Linked DNA regions of Canis lupus familiaris. The protein of the gene in region 3 interacts with the protein of the main gene of each other region in a biochemical or structural test. Links are inferred from orthologs where the notes say so. Each region holds a gene or a part of one and is shown on either strand. Other genes may lie near its edges.

What was found.
Region 1: of the proteins of MAPK8 (region 3) and NR4A1, one has a biochemical effect on the other in vitro, tested with the Homo sapiens proteins (2 studies listed by BioGRID). The link is inferred for Canis lupus familiaris from reciprocal best matches to the Homo sapiens genes MAPK8 and NR4A1.
Region 2: of the proteins of MAPK8 (region 3) and ELK1, one has a biochemical effect on the other in vitro, tested with the Homo sapiens proteins (3 studies listed by BioGRID). The link is inferred for Canis lupus familiaris from reciprocal best matches to the Homo sapiens genes MAPK8 and ELK1.
Region 4: the proteins of MAPK8 (region 3) and MAPK8IP3 form a complex in vitro, tested with the Homo sapiens proteins (3 studies listed by BioGRID, with this or other methods). The link is inferred for Canis lupus familiaris from reciprocal best matches to the Homo sapiens genes MAPK8 and MAPK8IP3.
Region 5: of the proteins of MAPK8 (region 3) and STAT3, one has a biochemical effect on the other in vitro, tested with the Homo sapiens proteins (2 studies listed by BioGRID). The link is inferred for Canis lupus familiaris from reciprocal best matches to the Homo sapiens genes MAPK8 and STAT3.
Region 6: the proteins of MAPK8 (region 3) and H2AX form a complex in vitro, tested with the Homo sapiens proteins (2 studies listed by BioGRID, with this or other methods). The link is inferred for Canis lupus familiaris from reciprocal best matches to the Homo sapiens genes MAPK8 and H2AX.
Region 7: the proteins of MAPK8 (region 3) and DUSP10 form a complex in vitro, tested with the Homo sapiens proteins (2 studies listed by BioGRID, with this or other methods). The link is inferred for Canis lupus familiaris from reciprocal best matches to the Homo sapiens genes MAPK8 and DUSP10.

Annotation. Positions count from the first base shown.
Region 1 is NC_049248.1:43,697,335-43,701,514, forward strand, and holds the start of NR4A1 (nuclear receptor subfamily 4 group A member 1), read left to right. Parts: upstream 1-1,380; 5' UTR 1,381-1,444; intron 1,445-4,180. UniProt on the Homo sapiens protein: Orphan nuclear receptor. Binds the NGFI-B response element (NBRE) 5'-AAAGGTCA-3'. Binds 9-cis-retinoic acid outside of its ligand-binding (NR LBD) domain.
Region 2 is NC_049260.1:41,470,256-41,474,389, reverse strand, and holds the start of ELK1 (ETS domain-containing protein Elk-1), read left to right. Parts: upstream 1-1,334; 5' UTR 1,335-1,484; intron 1,485-4,134. Other genes in the region: protein UXT, read left to right, coding at 54-107. UniProt on the Homo sapiens protein: Transcription factor that binds to purine-rich DNA sequences. Forms a ternary complex with SRF and the ETS and SRF motifs of the serum response element (SRE) on the promoter region of immediate early genes such as FOS and IER2.
Region 3 is NC_049249.1:431,453-435,565, forward strand, and holds the start of MAPK8 (mitogen-activated protein kinase 8), read left to right. Parts: upstream 1-1,313; 5' UTR 1,314-1,462; intron 1,463-2,068; exon of another isoform or gene 2,069-2,142; intron 2,143-2,614; exon of another isoform or gene 2,615-2,764; intron 2,765-4,113. UniProt on the Homo sapiens protein: Serine/threonine-protein kinase involved in various processes such as cell proliferation, differentiation, migration, transformation and programmed cell death.
Region 4 is NC_049227.1:39,591,761-39,595,260, forward strand, and holds part of MAPK8IP3 (C-Jun-amino-terminal kinase-interacting protein 3), read right to left. Parts: intron 3,230-3,500; coding exon 3,127-3,229; intron 2,931-3,126; coding exon 2,812-2,930; intron 1-2,811.
Region 5 is NC_049230.1:20,455,442-20,458,941, reverse strand, and holds part of STAT3 (signal transducer and activator of transcription 3), read right to left. Parts: intron 2,740-3,500; exon of another isoform or gene 2,718-2,739; 5' UTR 2,717-2,717; coding exon 2,589-2,716; intron 1,168-2,588; coding exon 1,023-1,167; intron 65-1,022; coding exon 1-64. UniProt on the Homo sapiens protein: Signal transducer and transcription activator that mediates cellular responses to interleukins, KITLG/SCF, LEP and other growth factors. Once activated, recruits coactivators, such as NCOA1 or MED1, to the promoter region of the target gene.
Region 6 is NC_049226.1:14,790,354-14,792,990, reverse strand, and holds H2AX (histone H2AX), read right to left. Parts: upstream 1,193-2,637; 5' UTR 1,090-1,192; coding exon 658-1,089; 3' UTR 501-657; downstream 1-500. Other genes in the region: DPAGT1 (UDP-N-acetylglucosamine--dolichyl-phosphate N-acetylglucosaminephosphotransferase), read right to left, coding at 2,379-2,444, 2,527-2,637. UniProt on the Homo sapiens protein: Variant histone H2A which replaces conventional H2A in a subset of nucleosomes. Nucleosomes wrap and compact DNA into chromatin, limiting DNA accessibility to the cellular machineries which require DNA as a template.
Region 7 is NC_049259.1:16,925,301-16,929,437, forward strand, and holds the start of DUSP10 (dual specificity protein phosphatase 10), read right to left. Parts: upstream 2,801-4,137; 5' UTR 2,642-2,800; intron 405-2,641; 5' UTR 365-404; coding exon 1-364. UniProt on the Homo sapiens protein: Protein phosphatase involved in the inactivation of MAP kinases. Has a specificity for the MAPK11/MAPK12/MAPK13/MAPK14 subfamily. It preferably dephosphorylates p38.

The DNA.
Region 1 (4,180 bases), on a different chromosome or scaffold from region 3:
CAGCAGGAGAGGCTGGAAACTAGGGTGTGGGAAACCCAACCCGAGAGGTGAGAGTGGAAGTGAGGAGGAACAGGAAGTGCCTCAAGGCTAGGGGGAAGTGCTGTCGGGTGGCCAGATGAGGTGAGAGTAGGGCCATCAGCGCAGGCGCAGTGGAAGCAGGAACTCTTCGAGCTGACTTGCGGGGAGAAGGGGACCGGGTGGGACCCCAGTGTTTGGGGGGGGTGTCTCTTCTTGTAAACGTTAGCACTCCTATCCCTCTCTCTCTTACTTAGCAGGTGCAGGCTCCCCAGGTTCAGGGGTGGAATGGGGGTGTCGAGGTGACAACCAGACCAGGGAGGCCTCCAGGTGGCTGCAGTGCGGCCTGTGCCCGATCCATCGATGCAGCCCTGGCCATCCCTTCTGGCTTCACGGGGCAGGTCGAGGCTACCCTCTCCACAGGTGGTCAGGGGAGGGCGTGAGAAGATCCCCTAGAGATGCAGTGAGAGGCCCTGGGGGGGGGGGGCAGCGTGTGCCACCACCTCGCCGTGTGACCTTGAGCAAGTGCCATCATTTCCGAGCTTGTTTATTTATAAAATGGGGAAAAAGAGTCGGCACAAATTTGACCAGATTTCTCAGGCCCCGCCCGGTTCTGAAATTCGGTCATTTCCCAGCTGCAGCGCACCCACCCTGGAAGGGACTGGGAAGCGATCAGGGCCAGCGCGTGGAGCGGGGCCCACCGGCCAACGCCTGCCCTCGGAAGGTGCCCTGCGTGGGAGAGTAGGGGGCGGAGGCAAGCGGGGGGAGGGGGGCTCGAGGCTCAGACGACCCGGTGACCCTGCTGCTGGGGAGTAAGTGGCCGCGCTGCGCCGCGGGCTGGAGGGGCGCAGGCTGCGGGGGGGGGCGGGGTGCGCCCCGAGGTGCGCCCCAGGCCTCCGGGGAGGCTGCGCGGCTGCGAAGGCGGAGCAGCGGGCGCTGCAGGGAGCTCAGCCCGGGGAAGCCCCGCGGCCGCGGCTCTAGAGCGCCCCCTCCTCGGGGTGGCGCGGCCCGGGGCGCGCGGGGCGGGGGGAGCCTCGGGAGTCCGCGAGCTGCTATTTTTAGCGGGCGCGGCGGGCGCGCGGGGACTATTTATAGATCAAACAATCCGCGCTCCCTGCGTCAATGGAACCCCGCGTGCGTCACGCGCGCAGACATTCCAGCCTCTCGCCCCGCCCCCCGGGCTCCCCGGCCCGCGCCTCCCCCCGCCGCCTCCCGCCGGAACCGCGCCGCCCCCCGCGCCCTTGTATGGCCACAGCTCGCCGGGCCGCGTGCGTCAGTGGCGCCCCCGCCCCTCGCCGTGCGTCACGGAGCGCTTAAGAGGAGGGTCGGGCTGCGCCGGGGAGCCCCAGCGGCACAGGCTGCGGAGCCCGGAGCGCGCGGCCGGGAGCGCACACGCGGGACGGACGGGCGGGCGGAGCGGAGCCGCCGGGTAGGTGCCCCGCGGGGAGCGTGCGCCCCAGCCCCGGCTTTCGGGGTGTTGCATGGGGGAGACGGCCGTCCGCGCGGGCAGAAAGGATGTTGTGGGGTCGGCGTGCAGGGGCGCGGGCGCTGGGTGCAGCCCGGGCGTCGGGGGGAGCGCTTGCAGCGGGGGCACGACCCGGGCCGCACTCCAGCCCCCGGGCGCCCGAGAGGTGCAAGGTGGAAGCCAGGTGGAAGCCGCGGGGGGGGGGTGGGGTGGAGTTGGAGTTGGCACCGGGAGTGGGGACTTGCTGGGGACGAGGCTGCCTGTGGTTCAGCGCCCCCCCCCCCACTTGGGTGCCCGAGTGGCCCAGGGCGCCCCGGACCGAGGTGCTGATGGGCTCTCGGTACAGTGGGGCGGGGTGTGTGTGTGTGTGTATGGGGGGGAAGATCCCCAGAACTTGAGTTGCAAGGATCCGCGGGACTCCTGCCAGCTCTGGGTTTCCAAAAGGGTCTCCTTCCTCCCCGGCTGGTCGGCCTCCTCCCCCACCCCTCGTTCCTTTAGTTGTTTTCTTAACACGTTAGAGGCTGTGGCTTAGTTTGCAGGGATCCCCGAAGTTGGTGCCTGAGCGGTGTTAGGAGACTTCTGGATTGCTGGAGGAAGTGGCCAGCATGGGGGGCTTGGCTGAGCTGTGGAGGGGGGCTGCTGGTGTTCCACTCAGTCTTCTTAGAGGCAGGGTCTGGGAAGCACCGGGAAGATTGGTTAAGAGGTGTCTTGGATCCTGTGGGGCGTGGGGGCGGGTGCGGACAGAGGAGAGAGAGAGAGAGGTGTGGAAATCTTGGTCCTTGGGGATCCCGAGTGAGAATTGCTCATGTTGGAGTCCCTGGTGTAGTACCTGAAGGACACCCCCCACAGCCCCACAGCCCGGTCACACCCGTGCCCCCCTCCCCCCAGTCCCCGTTGGATCCTACAGGTAGGGTGCAGCCCGCAGCTTGTTCAGCATAACAGGTGCAAACCACATTGTTGCCAGGACCTGCCTGAAGCCGGATCCTCCCTGTTCCCTCCTCCAGCCCCGCCTCTTCCTCCTCCCTGGGGGACTGCTTCTCCCCCACCCCCTTGACGCTGGATGCAGGTCCATATCTGCTGTAGTTAAGTACCTGCGCCGAGGGGGGTGGAGGGGGAGGACAGGTTGGTGGGGGTTGATCCGGATGTGGGATGTCCAAGTGGAGAAACAGGATTTGAATAAGGCTGGAACACCCAGCCTTATTCCAGGTGGCTGCTACCTCTTCTCCACCCCAAACCCATCCCTGCCCCGGCTGTCCTAGCGCTGGAAGACGTGGCCACTCTTATCTCTTGCAGGTGCCGCGTATGCCTGCGGGCGGGCGGGTGGGCACTACCGGGTGGCTGGTGCAGAGCTTGAGGGGCTGTGTGGCCCCCGGCCGGTTGTGGCAGTGTCAGGCCAGGGGTGCGTCGCCCGTGGAGGTGGGAGAGGGCTGGACCCAGAGGACGTTCCCCCCCTCGCCCCCCCCCTCCCCGGGCTCTTGGCCAGGAGGTGGTGCCAGCCTTTGCCCCCTCTCTCTGTTCCCTTGATCGTGGCACTCTGTGTTCCAGCTTGCTTTCTTGCCCCGCCCCCCCCCCCCCCCCCCCCCCCCCCCCGGCCCTGGCTGGGAGGGCCAGAGCCGTGCAGACCCCAGGGGTGGACATGGGATGGGAACCCGTCCCGGGGCCGCCTCTGCGCTAGTTTGCCACGGGTCTGCAAACTTGAGGATCTCCTTCTAAGTGGTGCTGTCTCTGCCCCTTCAGGCCGCTCATGATTGAGGGTGTAACCAACCCTCTTTGCCTGAGCGCCTGGGTTATTCAGGGCCCAGAAACTCCTTCGTGGAGGGACCCAGGCGGGGGCAGGATGGCTTCCATCTGCCCACCTCCCGCCAACAGGCTCCTCCCTGTATGGCCACCTCGAGTCTGCTGGACTCAGAGTTCTCTTATAAAACTAACAAGAGGCAATGCTTTGGGGGTAGCAGAGAAATTCTTCTTAGGGACTGTCCATTCTCCTGGAAGTCTAGGGGGCCTGTTCTCTCCTCCTTCCTGCCCCTATTCGGCTTCCCTCCGGTGTACAGCCTTTAAAGGTCTGGAGCCCGGCTACTTGATCCCCTGGGGAACTGGGGATTGCTGAGGAGGGCCAGGGCTCCCTTCCTTTTTGCCTTTGGGAGCATCCCAGGCGGTGCCGAGTGGGTGCCCATCCCCAGATGGCAGGACTGGGGTGCGCGTGGGAGCTGCAGCCTTTGTTCAGTGTGTCGGGTGGGGGCAGGGATGGGGGACAGGCTCGGGGCTGCTTAGGCCTCTTGCTTAGCAGCTGGGCCTTCAGTCTCGACTCCTCTTCCATTTTCAGGATGTCCTTCCCAGGCACCGTGGGGGGAGGAGGAGAGGGGGCTTTGCAAAGGCTGGGCTGTGCCTGGGAATATTCCCAGAAGTGCCAGGTTGGAGAAATGACATACCTTCACCCAGAGAGTGGGCTAAGTAAGGCTTTGCCTGGCTGCCTCTCCCACCCACCCTTCTTCCAGCCCCTGCCCACGCCTTACCCGGTGCGGGAGGGCAGGGGGCTGAAGGAACACAGCTTCCCCCTGTTCCAGCAGAGAAATGCTGGCTAGATGCCTTCCCTAGGGTTCCCAGGCTGACCGGGGTGTGGCTGGCCTTCCAGCTGAGCCCACTCCTGCTGGGCCACTGCCCGGGGGCTTTGTGACATGAGGGTTGAGATGGCACTCCGGC
Region 2 (4,134 bases), on a different chromosome or scaffold from region 3:
CTGGGCTGAGGCCTAGACAATCTCTGTTCAATCTCTTCTATCCTTTTTTTCAGGGGCTTAGAGAACTACAAGGCCTGCAGAATTTCCCGGAGACACCTCACTATTGACTTCTTCCCGCCTCCGTAGACATTAAAGAGCCTGAATGCCTTTGAGTCACATGGCCCTTCTTTCCCCACCTCAACCCTTTGCTGTTTGCTAAGGTGCCCTGTTTCTAAAGCACAAAGTTACCAGGAACCCCAGAGAGCCAGTCTCTATGTGGAACCTTTAAAGCACCCCTGAAGTCCCGCCTCCAGCCTGTTGCCTGGCAGCATTTGCCACTTGACTTTCTGCACTGCCCTCTTTTCTGTCGCCTTGGAAACCTGGGCCTCCCACCTGACCCTTTTATCTTCCTGGACGTAACTGTCTTAATCATAGAGAATGGGCTGATTCAGGGTGGAGGTTTGTTCCCAAGACAATCAGCCTTTCATTCCTGGCCCTAAAGTTTGCCCCTCTCCCCCACCCTAATCATTACTGGGGTACCTTAGATTACACCCACGCCCGTCTCATTCCAACCTTGGCCTCACCCGGCTTCTAACTAATTTCAGCTTCCACCAATGGGCGCAGAGCCTGATCCCGCCCTACCCCGGCCGGCCCCTATTTTAGGTTGAGTCTAGCTTCCGCCAATCATTGCAGAGCCAGGTTCCGCCCCCTTATAACTGGCTGAGGCTCAACGCTGACCTCCTCGTAGGCTTTAGTTTCCGCCACTCAACGCTCCTTTGCGTGCCTGGCCGCTGTCCAACCCTATCTCTGCTCTGTCCTAAACTCGTCTTTTCTACCCAATCACGATAGAGTTATCCTCCCACCTACGCACAGTCCTGGCCCGACCCCCTCCCAGCCTGCCGCTACGCCCACTTCCATATAAGTCCCGCTTCCGCTGAGCAGCGTGGAGTGCAGCACCGCCCAGTTGGTGTTTTGGCAGCTGTCTGGAGTCCCTAGTCCGCCAATCAGTAGAAAGCAGAGTCCATCCGCCCCTATCCTCGGAGGCCGTCTTCCATGCAGGCCAATTATTATCAGGCAGGCGCCCCCAGAATCTTGTCAATCGCCCACAGGCTGTCAGCCTTGGGCCAATCAGCGTGAAGCGCCAGCGGGGCCCAGCACGCCCCCTCGGAACCCAGGCGGCTATCTGCGTTCCATCAGTTCTCCTCGGGCCAATCATGGCCTAGCTCTGCGGGGCAGGGCCCGCCTCCCCAACCCTGGAAGCCGCGCGGTCGAGCCAAGGCGCTGTGTCCAATCAACCAGCCGCGGAATGCTCGGCTCCTCCTCCAGGGGCCCACGTGAGCCGTGAGGAAACGCAGGGGCGGCTTCTAGGTGCCGCCGCCGCCGCCGCCGCCACCGCCGCCACCGCCGCCACCGCCACCTCGGAGCCCGGGCCTGGGGGGCGGTGGGGCTGCGCATGGAGCCCCCGCCCCCCGGAGCTGCCAATACTGCCACTGCGCTACACACAGGTGAGCCCGGGGCCTGGAGGGTGGAGGGCCCGTCCGTGACCCCACGTATCCTTCCCGCCCCCGCGCGAGGGATGTGGCTTGGCCCATGGCCTGCTGGTGTTCAACTGCCCACCGCCACCGCCACGGCTGGTGGACCTGCCTGTGGTATTGTCCCCTCCCTTCGCCCCTTGTAGTCGATCTGACCGTGGCCTGACCCCCCTTCCTGTTTTATAATGGATCGGTCTGCGTGCTTATAGTTCTCCCCACCCCACCTTACAGTGGACTCGTCCGTGGTCCTGCCCCGCCCCCACCCCCACTTAGAGGGGAGCAGCCTCGGGCATTGTCCCTCCTTGACAGAAGGTGCATCTGACTGTTTATTTTCTCCTGTCCTCAACTTTCAAGGGCCCCGTCTGTGGCCTTGTAGTTCTGTTCCTTGTAGTGAATCAGTCCATGGCGTGTTGCACCCCCCCCGCACCCCCTTTAACAGTGAGTTAATCTGTGAAGTTGTATTCCTGCCTCCTCCAGTCCCCCAGTGCATCAGTCCCATGGTTTTATCTTTTACAGTGTATCGGTCTGAATGCTAGTATCCACATCCCTTGTCGTTATCAGCCCATTGCCCTAGCCTCTTTTTTTTTTTTTTTTTTCAGACTGTTTCTCCAGCCCTTGGGCTTCTCTCTTCCTTTTAATAGTGGGTCAGTTTCGTGTTTTTGAACTCCCCATTTTCAGTAGCTCATTCCATGGCCTTGTTCCCTTCTCCTTTTAATGAGTCCGTGTGATGGCATTTCACCCCATCTACTCTTGTGCAGAGTAGATGCCTTTCTGCTCCCCTTGCCCCCCATAAAGAAGATGAGCCTTTGCACTCCCCTCCACCCCCGCCTTTGCAGTGGATCTGTTCATTGGCCTTCTTGTTCCCCATGTGCTTGCATCCAGGCACACACCCCCATACCCTCCCCTGAGTCCAGTGCTTTGTAATCTCTTCTCCAGGAGGGTGCTTTTATTTTGTCCCTCCTTTCCTTGTGGTGGATCAGTCCATGGCCTTCCCTGCTTCCTCTCTTCTTAATGGTGGATCATCCTGTGTGCTTGTTGAACCTGGCTCTTTTTTACTCTAGAACACATCCCCCTCGTACACATCATTAATCCCTAAGACATTCTGCCTCACTGCAATAAACGGATGCATTCAAGATAGCGATAATGCCATTAGGAGCTAACGTTTATTGAGCACCTACTAGGTACCTGGCAAAGTGCTTTATATCCATGACCTCATTTCGTCCTCACCACAATCCTGTGAGACAGGTACTCAGGAAAGTTCGGCACAAGGGGCTCAATACGTTATTCAGAGGTAAGTACCCAGTTAGGTTGCCCCTCAGAACACAGAATAATTTTTGAGGATCCCCTTTCTCACTTCATCCCATGCCACATGAGACCCCACTCCTTAAAAAACAAAGCACCTCCCGTCTCCAAGCTTTTGTTTTTGCTAGTTTCCCCCCCGCCTGCAGAGCTGTCTCCATTCCACACTTTTTCTCAGCACCCATCCACCCGCAATCGCAGCAGCCATATGATCTGAGTGATTTAACCACTTTCTCTCCGCACCTGCTTCCTCATTTGTAAAATGGAGGCATCAAAACCAGAATCCCCTCCAGTGTGAACATATCTGAGAGTTAATAAGACAAGTAACCTCTCTGGCTGCACCTCCTGCACCTTGTCCCTCCGACTCTGTTCCAGCCATACAAAGCTCCTCACTCATCCTCAAATCAAACACGCCAGATACAGCCCAGCCTGAGGGCCTGTGCATTGGCTATATTTTCTACCTGGAATAACGTCGTTCCCCTGATCTGTATGTGAGTCCTTTCAGAGCTCTATTCAAATGTCAGCCTGCCCCTGATCATCTGAACCTACATACTTAACAGGACTCAGGTTCCTTCTCTGCAGTAGTGGTCCCCTTTGCCCTTCATCACTATCAGACACACTGTGTAGTTTACCAGTTCACTGTCCCTCCCCATTAGAACAGTCAGTCCAATGAGGGTTTAGTTTTTTTGTCTGCTTATTTACTGCTGGGTAAATATACTTAGTATATACTAGGTGCTCAATAAGAATTTGTTGCATGCATGAAGGTGAAAAATATTATTTCAGACAAATCAGGGTGCAAGGGGAGGGAAGGGTTGGAGATGAAGAGGGTATACGAAAACTAGCTAAAGAAACTAGTTGGGACTGTTCGTTCAGCAAACACTTAGCACCTACTGAGTACCAGGCACTCTTCTAGGTGCTGGGGATATGGGAAGGAACAGAACAGGCAGAAATTCCTGCCCTTGTGGAGCAGACGTTTGCTAAAAGTGGGGGAGACGGACTATATAAATAAAACAGTAAGTAAAATTAGATAGTATGTTAGGCGCTAAGGAGGAAAGTGAAGTCGGGAAGACAGGGAGAGAGTACGGGAGTGATTGAAATCTTGGGCACTGGGCAGGCCTCACTTAGAAGGTGACCCTTGAGTTAAGGCCTGAAGGAGATCAGGGAGGAAGACAAAATATCTAGGGGAAGAGTGTTCTGGAGGTGGAAGGAACAGCCAGTGCAAAGGCCCTGAGGTGGGACTGTGCCTAGTGCATTCAAGAAACGTGAAGGAGGCCAGTGTGGCTGGAGCAGAGCAGAGGGCGGGAGGGAGGCAGGCAGGCAGGCA
Region 3 (4,113 bases):
CAGTGATCATTTTGCATTTGTTTACCATTATTAATTCCATATTATGTTGATTACATATGTAAGTTCCATTGTATTGCCAGTGCTAGCACAGTGCCAGGTACAGAATGGGCATGTGATAATTGTTTATTGTAGAAATAAAGGAAGAAAGGAAAAAAGGCTGAGAGAGCAAGGAAACGGGGAGAGAATGTACAAATGATTGTTCACATTTATATTTCATTTCAGAATCACTGGAAACAGGCCAACTCAACAGGACAAGGGAAGATAGTATTCCTGGATTCAGTCATTTACTCAACAATATTCATGTGTTCATTATTAAAGTAATGTAATTTTCTTTTTTTTTTAATTTTTATTTATTTATGATAGTCACAGAGAGAGAGAGGGAGGCAGAGACATAGGCAGAGGGAGAAGCAGGCTCCATGCACCGGGAGCCCGATGTGGGATTCGATCCCGGGTCTCCAGGATCGCGCCCTGGGCCAAAGGCAGGCGCCAAACCGCTGCGCCACCCAGGGATCCCCTAATCTGGCAAATTTCTTTTCAGGTTTTTTCCATGTATGCATAATACATAGGTAGGATCATTATATAGAGACCTGCTTCTTTGTTTTCATGATACATCGTGAACATTTTCCTGTATTGTTAAGAATTCCTTGAACACCTGGCATTTAAATTGCTAAGCTACATTCTATTGGATGGATGGATGTAATTTAGACGCCCTTCCACCCATTGTTGGATATTTAACGGCTTGCCAATTCGTCACTCCTGCAACTAACGAATACACGCTTTGCGGGAGCTCAGAGATAAATAAGGTGATGAATTAAATCTAGCACGAGCTGGATTTGGGGAAAACAGGAGGCAGCTTCTTCCAGGTGGCTGAAAGGAACAATCACTCGCCGTAGGTGACGAGGCCCTGAAAGGAACGTGCTGTCGGTCAAGGTAAGCCCCGTTCTGTGTCTCGGGTGTGTGCCCGGCCCAGGGCCTGCTCCCGGGCGCCCGGCCTCAGGGCAGGCACCTCGCCTCCGGCTCCCACTAGGGGACGCCCCGGGCCGGGAGCCGCACGTGCCGCGCGCAGGGCCCCGCCCCCACCGGCCCCGGACACGCCCCTCGCGCCCGGTCCCGGCGCGCCCCCCGCAGCTCCGCCTCCAGGCGACCTCCGCGCGGCCTCCCGCTCCCGGAGGGGCCCCGCCCCCGCCCCGCCCCCGCATCCGGGCCCCGGGGCCGCCCCGCCCCGCCCGCCCCGCCCCGCCCCGCCCCGCGGGCCGCCTGCGAGGCGCGGGGGCGGGCCCGGCGCGATGACGTGGGCGGGCGTGCGCGGTGACGGCCCGCGTTCCTGTTACTCAGCGGAGCGGCCGGGGCCGGACGACGGGGCCGGGTGCGCGGAGCCGCCCTGGGTAACGGCCGTGGCGACCGCCCGGACGGCGCCAGTCCCGCGGGCGGGCTTCCCAGTCGCCGTGCGCTGCGTTGCGGGGTGAGTGCGGCGGCTGCCGCGGGGCCCGGGCGCCGGCGGCCCCGCCGTGTTTATGTTATTGTGCCGCCGCCGCCGCCGCCGCCGCCGCCGCCGCCGCCTTCTCCGCGGCCGGGACCCCCTCCCGGGAGTGGGGGCGGGAGCGCGGCGGCTCGGGGCGCGCGGCGGGCGGGCGGGGGCGGGGCGGGGCGGGGGCGGCGCGGGAACAATGGCGGGCGCGGAGGCGGGGCGGCCGGGGGCGTGGGGCTGCCGGACCCCGGCCCGCGCGCCCGCCCCGCCCCACAGCCCCGCGCGCTGCCCTCGCGGATGCCGCGTCCGCGTCGGGAGGGAACGTGGGGCGGGCGCTGGGCGGCGGGTCCTGAGGCGATTCGGGGAAGGTCGGGCGGAGGCGCCTGACTCGCTCCCGCGGCCGCCGAGTCCCGACGCCCGCCCTCGCGCACGGGCTCTCTTTGTGCCGAGGCTGCGGGCGGAGGCGCCGTCAGCCCTGGGCTGCGGGGTCCGCGGGGCCGGGCCGGGGTCGGCGTGCGCGAGCGCGGCCTCCCCTCGGGGGTCGCCGGTGCGGACCTTCCGGCCCTCCCCGCCCCCTCCCCTTTGTCTTGCACTCGTGTTCCCAAGGCTCAGACGGTGGAGCCGAGTCGGTCGTAGAGGATCGCGACGAACGCCTGCCGCGCGGGTGTCTGAGGGTGCGTAGCCGCGGGCCGACTACGGGCATCGGGGTTGCGGGGTCACTGTTTCTACCTCTGAGATTCAGGAGCCGCCTCGGTAGGATTCCGGCCTGTCAGGCCGTTGTGCTTTGGGATGAGCATCCGGCAGGTATCTGGGCCGGTGGAACATGTGTTTATTTCATTCATTCATTGAGCAGCTGTTCAGCACTGTACTCAGAGTTTGAAGCGAAGAGAAATACTTTTTTGATGGAGGAGGATGCTTTGAAATGTAATGGATGTCTTTTTAAATGAGTTATGTAAGCAGTGTGCGTTAAAGGTGTCGTTATACTCTGGGTCATTTATTTTTTTGGTTTTGGGTTTTTTTTCTTTTTTCTTTTAGTACAGTTAGGAGGTTGATCTAAACGTACAATGGCTTTCTTTATTTACAAATTTAACTTTTCAGTTTTAACAGCCTTACAGTCTTAAAAGTCATTTGTAATGTTTATCTCAGATTTCCCTGCTGTGGGTTAAACCTAGGAGATCACATGCTGTAAGGGAACATGCTCAGTGCTGTGCCTGACAAAAGCAAGCAATCAAAATGGGATTTCCTTGAGGACAGGCCTGTCTTTCATCTGTGTCTCCAGCCCTAGCCTGGAATATAGTAAGTGTTCAATAAGAGCTTGATGAAAAACTCTTCACGGTTAATACTATTTAAAATCCAGTCTTTACAGTTCTTTACAGTTCTCTGCAAACTCACTTTCAGTGGGCTAAGTGATTCGTTCATTTGTACTATCTGTCACCGCATCAGGGGCTTTTGAATATTTTAGTTTTTTTTTTCCTAGCACTTCTAATTCATTATCCTAAAATAAAATATTGTCTAAAATGCTTTTGTTGTTTTTGTCTTTTTTTTTTCTTAGTATGTGTATCACACACAGACATAGTGATATTACAGCAGGGGTCTAAAATGATTGAATTTGTCCTTTTTTGAACATTGCTTGAAAAGTTTCTGATGACGCCTGTAAGGGGAAAAGCTAGAGTATGGGAAATAAGCTACATGAAAGTTTTATTTGAAATGTTTAATTTCTAATTGCATTTGTAGAAATGTTTAATTTAAAATTCTACCTTGGTGAAGCATTTGGGCCTAACTGAATTTAAGATTTTACTATTGGAGAAGCATATGGGCCTGAAACTCCAAATAATACTGATTTATTCAAGTTACATCGTTTTTCCACTCACAGTTTAATAAATTTTAGCATGTTTTGGATATGAGAGAATTTGAAATGAGCTTATAGTATTGCCTGATGCAGAGAACAAATTAAAAGGAAATACTTCATTAAGATAAGGAATGAAAATCATGAGATACCAAACTTTTATTGATTTGTCTAGTTACAGTATGTCAGATTTCAGAAAGTGTTACTGATACAATCCTTTGGTGGTAGCTCACTGTAAGGCTACATGTCAATCCAGTTTTTTGTGTTTTTGAAATTCTTTTGGTTTTTAAAAATAACAATTTTATTGAGATACAAATGACATACCATAAAATTCACCCGTTTAGAGTGTGCATCAGTATGGGTTTTAAATATATTCAGAGTTCTGCGTTGATTGCTACTATGCAATTCCAGTACATTTTCATCACCCCAAGAAAAACTACGTACCCATTAGCAGTTACTCCCCTTTCCACTCTAAATTATGTTTATTTTATTTTATTTTTTAAAGATTTTATTTATTTATTCATGAGAGACACAGAGAGAGGGGCAGAGACACAGGCAGAGGGAGGAGAAGCAGGCTCCATGCAGGGAGCCCGATGTGGGACTTGGTCCCCGGACTCCGGGATCAGGCCCTGAGCTGAAGGCAGACGCTCAACTGCTGAGCCACACAGGCGTCCCCTAAGTTATGTTTAAAAAGAGATATCACTGATTCTTTTGGTGAGTATATTCCATTAATGAATTTGAAATGGGCTGTCTTTAAGTGTCCTGACAGAGTAGGAAACTATATTCTTATTATACTCCT
Region 4 (3,500 bases), on a different chromosome or scaffold from region 3:
GTCCTGACTCTGTGTCTTCACCTCACCCTCCCTGACCTCGTTTCTTCATCCATGAAATGGGGGCAGCAGCATTCCCCGGGATGAACGGCGGCCATGCATGTCCAACGCTGGCAAGACACTTCCCGTGACCATGTTGCCGTGAGACGTGAGGGGCCATAGTACAAGGTCCGGTGGGCTCCTACTCTGCCCCGGCCCTACATTCCATTTCCTGCCCCTGCCAGCGATGCTGGCACAGAAATGCAAGCTGCGGCGTGCCTGTGTGTTTTCCTAAGGAGACGGCTGTTGTCTCTTATCAAATCCTCAAACACCCGAGATGCACGGTGGCCTGCTGGGTGGTGTCCTCTGCACGTGCAGCCTCCGAGGTGGGCCCAGGCAGAAAAGTGCGCCTTCATGGACACACACAACGTGCACGGCTACCCCTACAGCCTCGTCCCAGCCAGTGAACCCTACTGATGGGCGTTCCTTCCCATGCCCCTCCCAGCCCAGCGGGCCCAACGCCTGAAGGGCAGCCGGGCCAGGCCCCTGTGGCTGTGGGTGCTAGCCCCAGCGCAGCCTCATCTGGGAGAACAGCATGCAGATGCTCTCAGGAGCCCACTTTTACCTTGAGGCTCCCACTCTAGGAATCGGTCCTAAAGTTGTCACAGGTGTGGGTGCAGACGTCTGCCCACAGCATGTGTGACGGCAATGTCCAAACAGCAAAATGCAGAACCAAGAGAGTTGAATAATTTGCAGTCCTGTGAAGTAATCTGATGTGTGGAGGAGTATCAGTGGGCCAGGGAAACGTTCACATTCCCGCTGGGGAGGGAGACATGACCTGACACGCACATGTGTGTGCTACAGTGCCAGAGAAGGTGTGGCAACGTATTAAAACACTCATGACGGCGGTAGGGGGAGGTGGGCATTTGGTGTTTACCCTGTTCTTGGCAGTTTCTCATATTATTTGAATAGTATTTAAGCATGTATTACTCTTCCGAAAATGAAAATCAGAACGTATACAGGATCATCTGAACTACATAGAGTAGAAGGATGTCAGAATGTTAAAAGTAATTTCCTCTAAGTAAATTGTTTCTGAATATTAATAGTTTTTCTTTTTAAATATATGTTTCTACAACACTTATGAGAAAAATCCCATTAGAAACACCCACTGCTGGGCCTCCTGTTCTTGCTCCTGGTCTCACCACCGAGTACGAACATCCTTTGTAACACTGAACTATACGCTCAAACATCAGCGAGAAGGTAAATTTTACCTTCTGAAAAGACTGGCTGAAAAGACTTCCATTTTAGGCACAAGGTGATGCTGGTGCGGATGCCACAAGGAATCGGTTCCCGGGAGGTACCCGCACCCCAGTTAAAGCAATCTAATCCAACAACAGCCCCAAAGCAAAGAGAGAGTACACGTGGTGGAACACGCCAGTGGCGCCCTTCCCTCATGGCCTCAAGCCCGGCCACATCTGCCGCTGGAAGCCTGGCCGAGCCACCCAAGACGGTGCCATCCACACAGAGTAGCCAAGCAAGTGCCCTCAAGTCCCTGAGGGCAAAAGGTCACCAGTGTTAATCAGTGGAGAGGGACAACAGCAGGAGGGTTGGCAGTAAAAACTCTTTGATGCGATGTAGCTCCTCCTCCTCAGGCAGCAGGCGACTGCATATGGATCACAGCAGCTGAAGCAGCCTGATTCCCATATGGGACCAGCACCTCCCCTGAGGAGGCAGCAGCCCCGGCTCCAGCTGCTGCTCCCCCCTAAGCCGTGAGAAGTGGGGAGCACCCTTCCCTAGGAGTCACCTCCATGGAAGCTGGTGTCCAGAGAGGACTAAGTGGAACCACTGCTCCCTCAGATCCCAACTCCTGCCCCCGACCCCGCCTCCCCTGCCCTGGAGGCTACCTCCCGCCCCAGAGCCCACCTTGTCCCCTGGAGCCACCTTGTCCCCTGGAGCCACCTTGTCCCCAGGAGCCCACCTCCTGCCCTGGAGCCCACCTCCTGCCCTGGAGCCTACCTAGCTAGCAGGAAAGGATTAAGTGCAGCTCTAAGGTCCTGGAGCTCCTGTCCTACAGGCGGGCTTCTCAAAGTTCAGGCTCCAGACACAAGGGCACAGGGCATGTGGTGGGGGGAAGGTGAACACCACCGAGCACATCCAATTTCCTGCCTGCAGTGCTGAGGGCCACAGCTTGCCTTGGAGCCCTGCCTGATGGGCACGCCTGACACCCATCCCAGGACGGGAAGGAGGACCCGAAGTAAGTCTACTAGGGACTGTCTCTGTACCCATTTCCTTTTTTACGATTTATTTATATATTCATGAGAGACACAGAGAGAGGCAGAGACACAGGCAGAGGGAGAAGCAGGCTCCTGCGGGGACCCTGATGTGGGACTCCATCCCAGGACCGGGATCTCGACCTGAGCTGAAGGCAGATGCTCAACCACTGAGCCACCCAGGCGTCCCTCTGCACTCTTTCCAATCCAGGTGCAGGGAGTTCTGGGGGCAACCGTGGGCTCGAAAATAGGCAGTGACCTCATATAAGCATATTCTTTGAGGAAATTGCTAGAAAGTGCACTGCCTAGACTGAGTGCTCAAAGGCACAGTTTTATTTTCAGAGTGATAGAATGTTCTAAAATTAGAAAGTGACACAGCTCTGTGAGCACCCTGAAACCCGCTGAACTTTAAGTAGTTTAAGTTTTATGATATGTGAACTACATTTCGATAAAACTATAAAAAGAAGTTCCTGGCTCACAGCTGACAGAGACTTTGCTTTCATTACCAACAAAACCAACAACAGCAACCTGAGGCCCTAGGGTCACGGGGGTGGCTTGAGTTTACCTAGCAGGTCAGCTCCTTCATCCACGTCCCCAATGACTTCTGACCCTGCGGTTGACAGCTCGTGGTACAGGGAGTCAGTGTTGATGCCAAAAGCCTTGTTCACGATCCCCTGGGTCGGGCTGTGAGGAAACACCCGGGAAGCACAGGGTGAGTGGGCAACATTCGTGGGCTGTGGGCAGGGGCCCTCCAACACTGCCCACTGGGCCACTCAGTGCCAATGCTGCTGTGCAAGAGGCTGCAAGGGACACCTCCACCAAAGGCGCCGATGCCCACAGTGAACACAGAGCCCTCCAGGACCCCAGGTTCAGGGAGTACCTGTTGCCCGTGCGATCAAGGCGGGGTTCCCGACTCATGTCCAGCTCTGGGGTGGAATCGATAATGTCTTGAACATCAGACCACTCATCACTGCTGCCCATGCCTGGGGGGGACACACAGGAACCCCAGGGTTGGGGGGGCATCAACCCTCTGGCCCCACGTCTGGAAACCCCACACTAGATCACCACCAGCCAGGAACTGTCAGGAAAGGGCTCTTCCCTGGGTGGTGCCTGGCTAGGACCCATGCCCCAGAACCATGTCTCTTTTTCAAGACCTCCGATGAGCACACCCAATGTCCCGCTTCTCCTCCTCCCCTTCCTCTACTGAGCATGTCAGGAGTGCACTGCCAGAGGCCAGTGTGTCCCCCAAATCCA
Region 5 (3,500 bases), on a different chromosome or scaffold from region 3:
ACTCTTCCCACAAGCACCGGGCCACAATTCGGGCAATCTCCATTGGCTTCTCCAGATATCTGCTCTATAAGTAAGAGAGAGAAAATGATGGGATCCCTGGGTGGTGCAGCGGTTTGGCGCCTGCCTTTGGCCCAGGGCGCGATCCTGGAGACCCGGGATCGAATCCCACATCGGGCTCCTGGTGCATGGAGCCTGCTTCTCCCTCTGCCTGTGTCTCTGCCTCTCTCTCTCTCTCTCTCTCTGTGACTATCATAAATAAATAAAAATTAAAAAAAATTAAAAAAAAAAAGAGAGAGAGAGAAAACGAAAAGTAGCAGTAGACTAAGAAGATGTGGACCCAAAAGATTACATCTACTACATGAAACAATAAAACAAGGGCCTCAGAACCTGGCTGCCACTGGTGGGAGATGAAGGAAAAACAGAAAAAAGACCGTCACAATGAGATGTACTGTGACAAAAGGTACATTAGTCTGAGTCTTTGGACAATATGCTATCGTGGTCTTACATGGAGGTGACAGACCTTGTCCGTGGGTGTCCAATTATGGTCAAACATTTAACATTGAAAAATAAGTCATCTGGGGCGTTTGGGTGGCTCAGTTAGTTTGGCATCTGACTCTTGACTTTGAGTCAGGTCATGATCTCAAGATCATGGGATTGAGCCCCGCACTGGGCTCTGCTGGGCATGGAGCCTGGTGAAGATTCTCTCTGCCCACATCCCCCCACTAAAAAAAAAAAAAAATTAGGTCATCTTCCTATGAAACCACTAGTTCTGATCTTGTTATTAACATGCTAATGTAATACGATTACCATTAACAATTATGCGATGACGTCAACGGACAAAAGAATTGGATTTCAGATAATGATGCTCAAGGGAGGGTACACAGAGGTTTGAGAAAGGGCTAATAATTTCTCCTTTGACTTAAAGTACAAGATAGAATCTCATTACCCAGGCTAATGAGAAGAGAAATACTTCCTGGACAGAAGCTAACATCCTACTCTGCAGGGTCAGTTTCTTATCACACCTGAAGGAACTGCTTGATTCTTCGCAGATTGTGCTGATAGAGAACATTTGACTCCTGTAGGAAACGGCTGTACTGCTGGTCAATCTCACCCAAGAGATTATGAAACACCAAAGTAGCATGTGATTCTTTGCTGGCTGCATATGCCCTGGGAAAAAAAAGAAGGATACAGAATGATTCTGAAACCTACATACACTCGCATGCACACACATGCGCACACATGCATGCACAGAAATCACCATTAAGGAGCGAAGAAAACAAGACAAACCTGATGCTTTAACTCACTCATCACTTTAGATTCACCTTGCTCAGCAACAAGATATGTCATGAATTTAATGATTATTAACAATTATAATCAGATACTACAAGCCACTGTCATAGTCTATACTTAAAAGATATTAGTATAAGATTAATATCTTATATACTCATAAGATATAAGAGCAAAGTGAACAGATATGCTAGTTTGCTTTCTCAGCTCCACAGCCAGATTATTAGTAACTAATAAGCAATCCCAGGCTGGGGTGGCCCATCTCCATCATCTCTGACTCACCTCCCTGGGCCCTCACCAAATTCTAGAAAAAACTAGGTCATAGGCCTGAATTAAATGAAAATTAATATATGGATCTGAACATATCAAAATGAAAAAAAAAAAAAAGGGACACCTAGGTGGCTCAGTCTGTTAAGCATCTGACTCTTGGTTTTGGCTCAGGTCATGACCTCAGGGTTGTGAGATGAAGCCCCATGTGACTTCTGCACTGGGCATGGAGCCTGCTTAAAATTAAGATTCTCGGGGCACTTGGGTGGCTCAATTGGTTGAGCATCTGCCTTCAGCTCAGGTCATGATCTGAGGGCCTAGGATCGAGCCCCACATCAGGCTCCCTGTTCAGCAACGAGCCTGCTTCTCCCTCTTCCCTACCCCTGTTCTCCTGCTATCTCTATCACAAATAAATAAATAAAATCTTTAAAACAAACAAATAAATAAATAAATAAATAAATAAATAAATAAATAAATATAAAAATAAGATTCTTTCTCTCCCTCTGCCCTTTCCTGGAGCTCTCTCTCTCTCTCAAAAAAAAAAAAAAAAAAAAAAAAAAAAAAAAAAAAGGAAATAGTTGTTGGAATTCTGAGCCATTATCTTCTCTATGAATGAGTTTATTTCTCTTACTCTGTGTCTCATTCCTTTAATTAAAGGGTAATCAGAATTATGGTCCCAATTTCCACACATGAGAGAACTCTCACTGAAGCAAAAAATATTTGTAGTGCATCCCTGGAGTGTCAGAACACACAGAGGACCTCGGCAAGGAAATGAGATTCAAATCAGCCTTCAAAACAGCTACCCCAGGCAGGCTGCTTCGAGGTGCCAAGAGACAGTTGCCCACACACACTTCTAATGGATAAAACGCTTTTGCAAGACTGAGAGTACCTCTTTATCTCCTGATCTCTTTCATCCCATCACCTGTACCCATCAGTTTTTTTATGAAATAGGACAGAGTTAAGCTAGAATAGGTTATGTTTCCTGACTCAAATCAAAACTTGACACTTTGGGGAATTTCTCAGGAAGGACTTACCAATCTTGACTCTCAATCCACGGGGCCAGAAACTGCCGTAGCTCCATTGGGAAGCTGTCGCTGTACAGCTGATGAAGCTGCTCTAAGTACCGTGTGTCGAGTTGCTGTAGCTGATTCCATTGGGCCATCCTGTGGAAATCAGGGGTCCCAACTGTAAACCAAAATGTTCATATGGTCACTGCAAGCACTAGTGTGAGTAAACAATCTAGAAACACCCCATCTACCCAACACAGGCATCAGGTCTGTGATTAGGGATACAAGATGCTTTGGACAGTATCCTATATGTTTCTCCCAGTTTACAGCAACATAGACACATTGATAGTCTCTACCTCTGGAAGCACACTACAGTTTCTCCTACACTGGGATGTCAATGGGAGCATGGCATCTGCCAAGTTCCAGAATCCATTAGCTACCAGAGGTACGTGAAGTTGAAAAATACCTTAACTTCCAGATTTCCACTTCCTCATCTATAAAACAGAGATCATCATTCCCACCTCTCATGGCTGTTGAGATAATATTTTTAAATATCTCGGCTCAGTATGTGCCATGCAACAGATGCTCAACAGATGTCAGCTCCTTTCTTTCTACCCTATCCCCCTTTTTAAGAGGGTTAACTGGAAGATATAGTCAACAAACATACGCTAAACCCAATATGTCGGATGTAGCTGTTCGGCAAAGACACAGAGCTAACTCTAAGAATATAGGTTTAAAAGTATAAGCAAAGACCTTCCTGGGATTCTCTCATTCAATGAAAAGCATTTTGTTTTTAAAAGTTCTCAGTTAAGGGATCCCTGGGTGGCGCAGCAGTTTGGCGCCTGCCTTTGGCCCGGGGCACGATCCTGGAGACCCGGGATCAAATCCCACATCTGGCTCCTGGTGCATGGAGCCTGCTTCTCCCTCTGCCTGTGTCTC
Region 6 (2,637 bases), on a different chromosome or scaffold from region 3:
AGATGGGGACGGTCGGGCCGGTGCTGGTACGGAGGTGCGAGGCCCGCGGAGCGGTCGCCGGAGAGAGCGGGCCGGGCGGCGGGGTTCGCGGGCGCGCGCCTCCTGCAGTCCCGGGGCCCGCGGGGCGCACCGCCCCTCCCCCCCTGGTGGCAGGTCCCCGCGGACGCGTTCGGCCCGAGCCGAGGGGGCGGCAGGGCGGACAGTGACGGGTCGTCCCCGCACCGCGGCGTCCGGAGAGTCCCGGCCCGGCCCGGCCCCGGCGCGTACCTCAGCCCTGCGTCAGCGCGCCGAGCGGCTCTTCCAGGCGGCGCCGCGGCCTCCCCGCGGCCCTCCCCGCGGCCCTCAGCGCGGCCCGGGCGGCTGAGTCACTGGCGCCGCGGCGGGCAGCGGCGCGCCCCCGGCCCCCTCCGGGCCCCTGCGCCGGGCGAGCGGGCGGCCCTCCGGCCGGGAGGCGGCGGGAGCGAGGGCAGGCGAGCCCGCGCGGGGGAGGGGCGGGCCGGGCGGCGGCGGCGGCGGTGACGACGCGGCGGGGGGGAGCCGAGCGCCGCGGCCGCCCGCCCCGAGCCCGACGTGGCTCAGCTCTTTCCGTGAGGGCGGTGGTGGCCCTTAAAAGGGCCTTTGTGGTGGCATGGGGGCCGGCTGCGGCGCGGGCGCCCCTCAGTACTCCTGAGAGGCCTGCGTGGCCTTCTTGCCGCCCGCAGGCGCCTTCGGCCCCACGGTGGCGCTGGTCTTCTTGGGCAGCAGCACGGCCTGGATGTTGGGCAGGACGCCTCCCTGCGCGATCGTCACGCCGCCCAGCAGCTTGTTGAGCTCCTCGTCGTTGCGGATGGCCAGCTGCAGGTGGCGGGGGATGATGCGCGTCTTCTTGTTGTCGCGGGCCGCGTTGCCCGCCAGCTCCAGGATCTCGGCCGTCAGGTACTCGAGCACGGCCGCCAGGTACACCGGCGCGCCGGCGCCCACCCGCTCGGCGTAGTGGCCCTTCCGCAGCAGCCGGTGCACGCGGCCCACGGGGAACTGGAGGCCGGCGCGCGACGAGCGCGACTTGGCCTTGGCGCGGGCCTTGCCGCCGGTCTTGCCGCGGCCCGACATGCTGCGCGAGGTAGAAGAGCTGTGAAGAGGGACGCCTCGAAGGGGGCAACGAACAGCCGCCCGCCGCAGTCCAACTGCTGCCGCGCGCGCCCAGGGGCCGGCCTTATAAGCCCCCAGGGCACACCTCCGCGCCCTCCTGATTGGCTCTCTCCTCGGGTACCCGCCTCCGGTTGGTTGCAGTTAACCCTTCAGTGACGCGCCACGGCCGAGGCAGCGCGCCCGCCGATTGGTCCGATTTGAAAACCTTTTGCCCGGGGAAAAAGGCGAGGAGGAGTGGTAGCACGCAGCCGGCCAACCCCTCCCCGATGTAGCCAATCCTTGCGAAGGGCGCCAGATTTAAACGCTACAGCTGGAGCCCAGAACCGGAAGGCAAAGAGGGTGGAGTCTGGGCCACCTCGAGGGCCTCTGGGAAACCGGTGCGGGCCCGGGATTTTTAAAGGAACGGGGTCGACACCACTCCCTTCCCTTCCTGGTCTGGTCATTCTTCTCTCCTTTCTCCCTCCTCCCATCCTGCAGAGGGAAATGAGAGAGGGAAGAAATGGGAACCCCTCCCGCTGCTCCCCCTAAAAACTTCTGTTCGGCACCAGAGAACAGGCAAGTCCAATCTTAGGGCTCTCCCTGCCACCTGAAGTATGAGGATTTCAGGGCTTATTCAACATGTTCTATTTGGTCTGTTCTTTCTGTTGACTTCTTGTTACAAGGAGCCCACTGTGCTGAAAGAAAAAAGATGGGCAGAGGGATAGGCATCCTCTTGGAGGAGGTACCTCCACCAATCCTCCCGATCTACCCTAAAATGCCCAAAATATACTTACAGGAACACCAAGAAAAAGACAACACTTTATTGTCACCACTGGGAGCACCTGGCCCCCCAATCTGCTCTTACGAATCAGAATACTTAATTTATGGTCAAATAATCAAGTGATCTTCGAGCCTGTGTCCCTCTCCCCAGCCAGGGTTCTATCCCCAGGCCCAACATATTCCTCGAGAGTCCGAGTGGTGGATAACTGCATAAAAAGCACAGTATCCCACTTTGGGAGGCCGCAGGGATGGGATAGAGAGGGAGAGCAGCAAGTTGAAGAAAGCCACAGGCAAAGTCCAATCAACAGTCAGTACAGGGCAAGACAGGCCCAGGATGTCGATCACAGCGGAACGGAATCGCTAAGTACAAAATCTGGAGAAAAGTAAGAGGTGAGAGAGGCCTGGGCCCGGAAGCTTGCCTGGCCCAGAAAGAGGCAGGCCTGAGTCAGGAACCCTGCAGACTATGCAGTGAAGGGCAAGGATTGGGGGACTCAGACATCGTAGAAGAGCCGGACAAGCTGGTACCGGATGGAGAAGGTGACAGCACTGCCAAGGATCTGTGAGGAGAAAGAAACACACCAGAGTCAGAGCCATGGAGAAAGGGAGACCAGAGCCAGCAAAGCCCTTCCCTGACCACACCTGGAGCAGCAGCAGGAGCAGAGTCAGGTTTCTCTCATGCATGGGCCCGAGAACCTTAAGGAGCAAGTTGAGGAGCGTCATGTTGTTACACTCCGTGAAGGCACCATCCTC
Region 7 (4,137 bases), on a different chromosome or scaffold from region 3:
CAGTGTTGTTGACCATCTGGTTGGCAGGGCAGGTGGCAGAGGTTCCGAGGGCGGTGGTGGCGGTGCCAGCGGCGATGGCTTGGGTTTGGGCCTGATTGTCCTTGTCGTAGGTTGCCACAGTACAGCAGCTGGCAGTGCTGCATCCACAATTCAGGGCGCGGGCAGAGCCGCTGGATGAGGGCATATACGTCAGATTCGCAGCCTTGAGGGATACGACGGTGGTCGCAATGACGGGAGGGGGGCTGTCACTGCCCGGGGTGGCCGAGCCAAGGTAGCTAGAGTCTAAACAAAGGTTGAGATCCTGAGGTCGGACGGGCCTAGACAGTGCCACTACTACCCTGTCGTCTAAAGGAGACGGAGGCATGAGGAGGCTGAAAACTGGCAACTGAAGAACTCAAGACAGTCTGTAAAGAAGGGGAGGGGGAAAGAAAGAATAAAGTCATGTGACACACAAGGCAGTCTGATCCAAACCCTAGGAAAGGCCTTTGCATCCCTCTGAGTGAAGTTGTCCTAAGGGCCCTTTATCAAGCCGCTCTCCAAGCCCGAAACTCATTTTTTTTTTTTTTTTTTTTACAGATTCCAAGAGGATGTCAACCCGAGGGCCCCCCTCCTCTTTGGTCACTAAGTCCAAGGTTACACGTACAGCCCACACAGTTGATGAACCACCTTCTCACGGACGTACTACGTGGAAGCTCAGCCTTGGAGAAAGGACAAGCACAAAGAATGGGAAAAGCCGAAGACAGAAAAGAAGGCTCCTAAGAGGCATCTATTCTGGGCCTCACCTCCTGGGCAGAAGCATAGTGCAACCGTCTGAGCAAGACCCACTTGTCCACCCGTGCATACTTTCCGTTTAATTCCTTCACTCACTGCAAAGGCAAAGGAATGACCAAGAGCGCTGGCCCGGCTCACCAAAATATACAGCAGCTAAATATACATCAGGGGCGGATGGCAACTTTCTGCAAATCAGAATGAGAGTATCCCCCTAAGTGAATCTCTTGAACGGGGAGCTATTCTTGCTTTGCATTCCTTTGAAAAGCACGACAGAGTCATATGAAAACCTCCCGTGTTTCCTGTTAGTCTCTTATAAATTAATTCTGCATTTCCCCTTTTGTTACAAACGAAATGTCCTGAAACAAAGCCTCAGGCTAAGGAGCCAGGCTGGTAACCCCCAACCCTGGCAGACCCATCGCCCTTTGCTGCCCACCTCATCCCCCCCCCCCCCCAAACACACACAAACACATACACACACTCCTGCCTTTAAGGAAAGGACCACATCGACTCTGCTACCTCCTTCGTTTCCCTGCTGACAGAGGCCGGGCATCCCAGAGGGATGGGAGGCAGCCCCGTGGATAAGATCTCAATCCCCCACAGATAGACCCCCGCCCCTCCAAGAGGATGAATTCCGTAGAAAGGACTTCCCAATGAGCCGGTCCCTGTTAAAGGGGGCAGTGAAGTGTTGCCCACAGGGTCCACCTCCTGCCTCAGGAGAGGGAGCCTGCAAAGGACCAGTTCCCTCCTTCCATAGGCACAGGGGCACTCTACCACCCGACCCTACCAGCTCCTTTTCTATTAGACACGCACCGAGAAAAGAAACCAAACCCCATGCAAGAGCCGCTCGTCTAAAGGAACTTTAAGAGATGTCTGGAAAAATGTCATCTATCATCCGTCTACACACGACCGTCACCATTCTCTGACACCGAGCCAAAGTGTCACAGGCAGAGTCCACACGCGGGCGCGCACACACACACACGCAGACACACAGAGACACGCACCCGACTTGTTCCCAGATCCCCACCGACTCAGGTTTCTCTCCTCCACTTTTGGATGGGAGAGAAGGGTTCATCCCTGGCCCTCCGGCCCTCCCACTCTCCCTCCCTCCTTTGCGTAGTATTTTTTTTTTTTTTTTTTTTTGAAGAGCAAGTACTATTCCAGAAGCTAGAACTGTTTCCCAGCTGGACCAAGCGGTGAAAGTCTCTGCTATTGTGTTACCAGGTAGGGTATGTCCCAGGATCAACAGCCCATTTCCTTGGTGAGGGACGCATAAGCGTGTTCATGGAGACACAGGCTGGGACCCCCACCTCTACGCGGAGTGCGCGGCTCACACACACACACACACACACACACACACACACACACACACACACACGCCGGAGTGTAGAAAGAGATCTGCATCCCTGCAGCAGAGGGTCGGGCGTCTATATTGCCCATGAAAGCATCCAGACCGGCCCAGGAAACCTCCCAGAGAAACACTAAGCTGCCCCCTCTCCCTTGCTGGCCGTCCTTCCACCTCTTAGGCAGGGGCTGGAAAGAAAATTAAGTCGTTAGAGAATGCTACTTCCCCACTCCTGGGCGCTCATCCCCCTTCGCAACACAGCGCACTAACAAGCCCCTGGCATTTAAAACTGCCGCAAAGCATCCCAACAAACCTCATTTTCTTTCTTCTCCCCAAATCCAAGTCGACTGCGGAGAGAGTCAACGCACAGGGCAGCGTGAGCCAACAGCAGGAACCCTATACCCTCACCTGCTGCGGCTCCCCCGTGAGCATCGCATCACACACACACACACACTCACACTCACACTCACACTCACACCGCCTTACACTCCCAGGCTCTCCAGAGGAGCCGCGCTGACTTCCACTTACTTCATAAATAAGTGTAGCCCTCCACCATCTGGCGCTCCGCTTCAGCTAAGGATTCGCCCATTCAGCCCCCATTCACTTGGCTTCATTGATCTCCAGCAGCAACATAGTTACTTTCTCTTTTGCTACACTGTAAATGTAAGGTTCTGAGGGGGCGGGCCGGCTGCCGAGCGACGGCACGTCGGGCCAATAGGAAGCCGGAGAAAGCCGACCGCTACCTCGCCGCGGCCCGCGGCCAATGGGCAGCGGGCGGGGCGGGGCCGGGGGCGGGGCCTCGTCTCTTTAAGGAGGGCTTATCCGACGCCGCTCCGGGTCCTCGGTGTTAGAACGCGGGCGGTGATGTCATTGGCAACCAATCAAAAACTTAAAAGGGCCAGCCGGGGCCCGCGCGGAGCAGCTGCTCTCTATTTACATGTAAACCGAACCGGCTGGATGCAGTTAACCCTTTCCGGGGCCGAAGTGTCAATGGGCCGGATCGCTGCTCCGGCTCAAACCGGCTGGGTCCCTGGGCCCGGAGCCCCCCGCGTGCCCCTGCCCCGGGGGTGCGGATCGCGTCTTCTCTTTCCCTCCTACTCGGGACCAAGGATCGGAAGAGTCGGAGTAACTTTCCGAGGGCGGGCCCCGCGAGCAGTCTCCGTCCCCGGCGGGGAGCCGGCTCGCCCAGGCGCTCCAGGTGCTTCGACAGACCCTAACCCGAGATCCGCGGCCGTCGCCGGGCAGCCTGCGGCGGGAGCGGCGGGAGCGGCGGGAGCGGCGGGAGCGGCGGGAGCGGCGGGAGCGGCGGGAGCGCGCAGCCCGGGAGCCGCTCCTGCACCGGGGCCCCGCGAGCGCCCACCACGCGCTGGGGGCGCCGGGGGCCGGGAAGCCGGGCCCGCCCAGCCGCGCTGCTCCCCGCGTCCTCCGCCCGCAGATGTCGCTGCCCCTCCGGGTGCCACCCCGCGCGGCAGCGGCGCGCTCCGGCCCGCCTGCAGCTGCGCGCGGTCACGCCCCCGCCGACCCCGCCGGCCTCCCGGGGCTCGGCCCGCCGCCCGGAGGGCTGCTCAGAGGCGGCGGCCTGGGGCCCGGCCAGAAGCTGCAGGGAGCGCGCGCAGTAGCCGGGCGGTCGCGGGGCTCGCCGTGCGCGCAGGGTCCCCGCCCCCCAGCGCGGCCCCGGGGCGAACGCAGGCCCGCGGGCCCCGCGCTCCTGGGACACCGCCGCGGGCGGAGAAGCAGCCGGAGCGGAGGGTAAACCACCCGCCCAGGTCGACGGGGCGGCGCCGCCGCTCTGGGTTTTCCAGACTTTTTTTTCCCGAGGAAGAGCCTGGGGGTGGGGCGGGGGTGGGGGCGAGGCAGGCTGGCTTGCGCCTGGAAAATCTCAGAGAAACTGCGGGAAAGTTGTCTTGGGGTACGCAGAGGGGTGGAGATGCTACCTGCGGGGAGCCTGCATCAAAGGACCCTAAAGAAATAAGAGCTTTTTCCTCTTCCCTCGCCTGCAGGCGCAAAGGAGTTTGATAAGGACA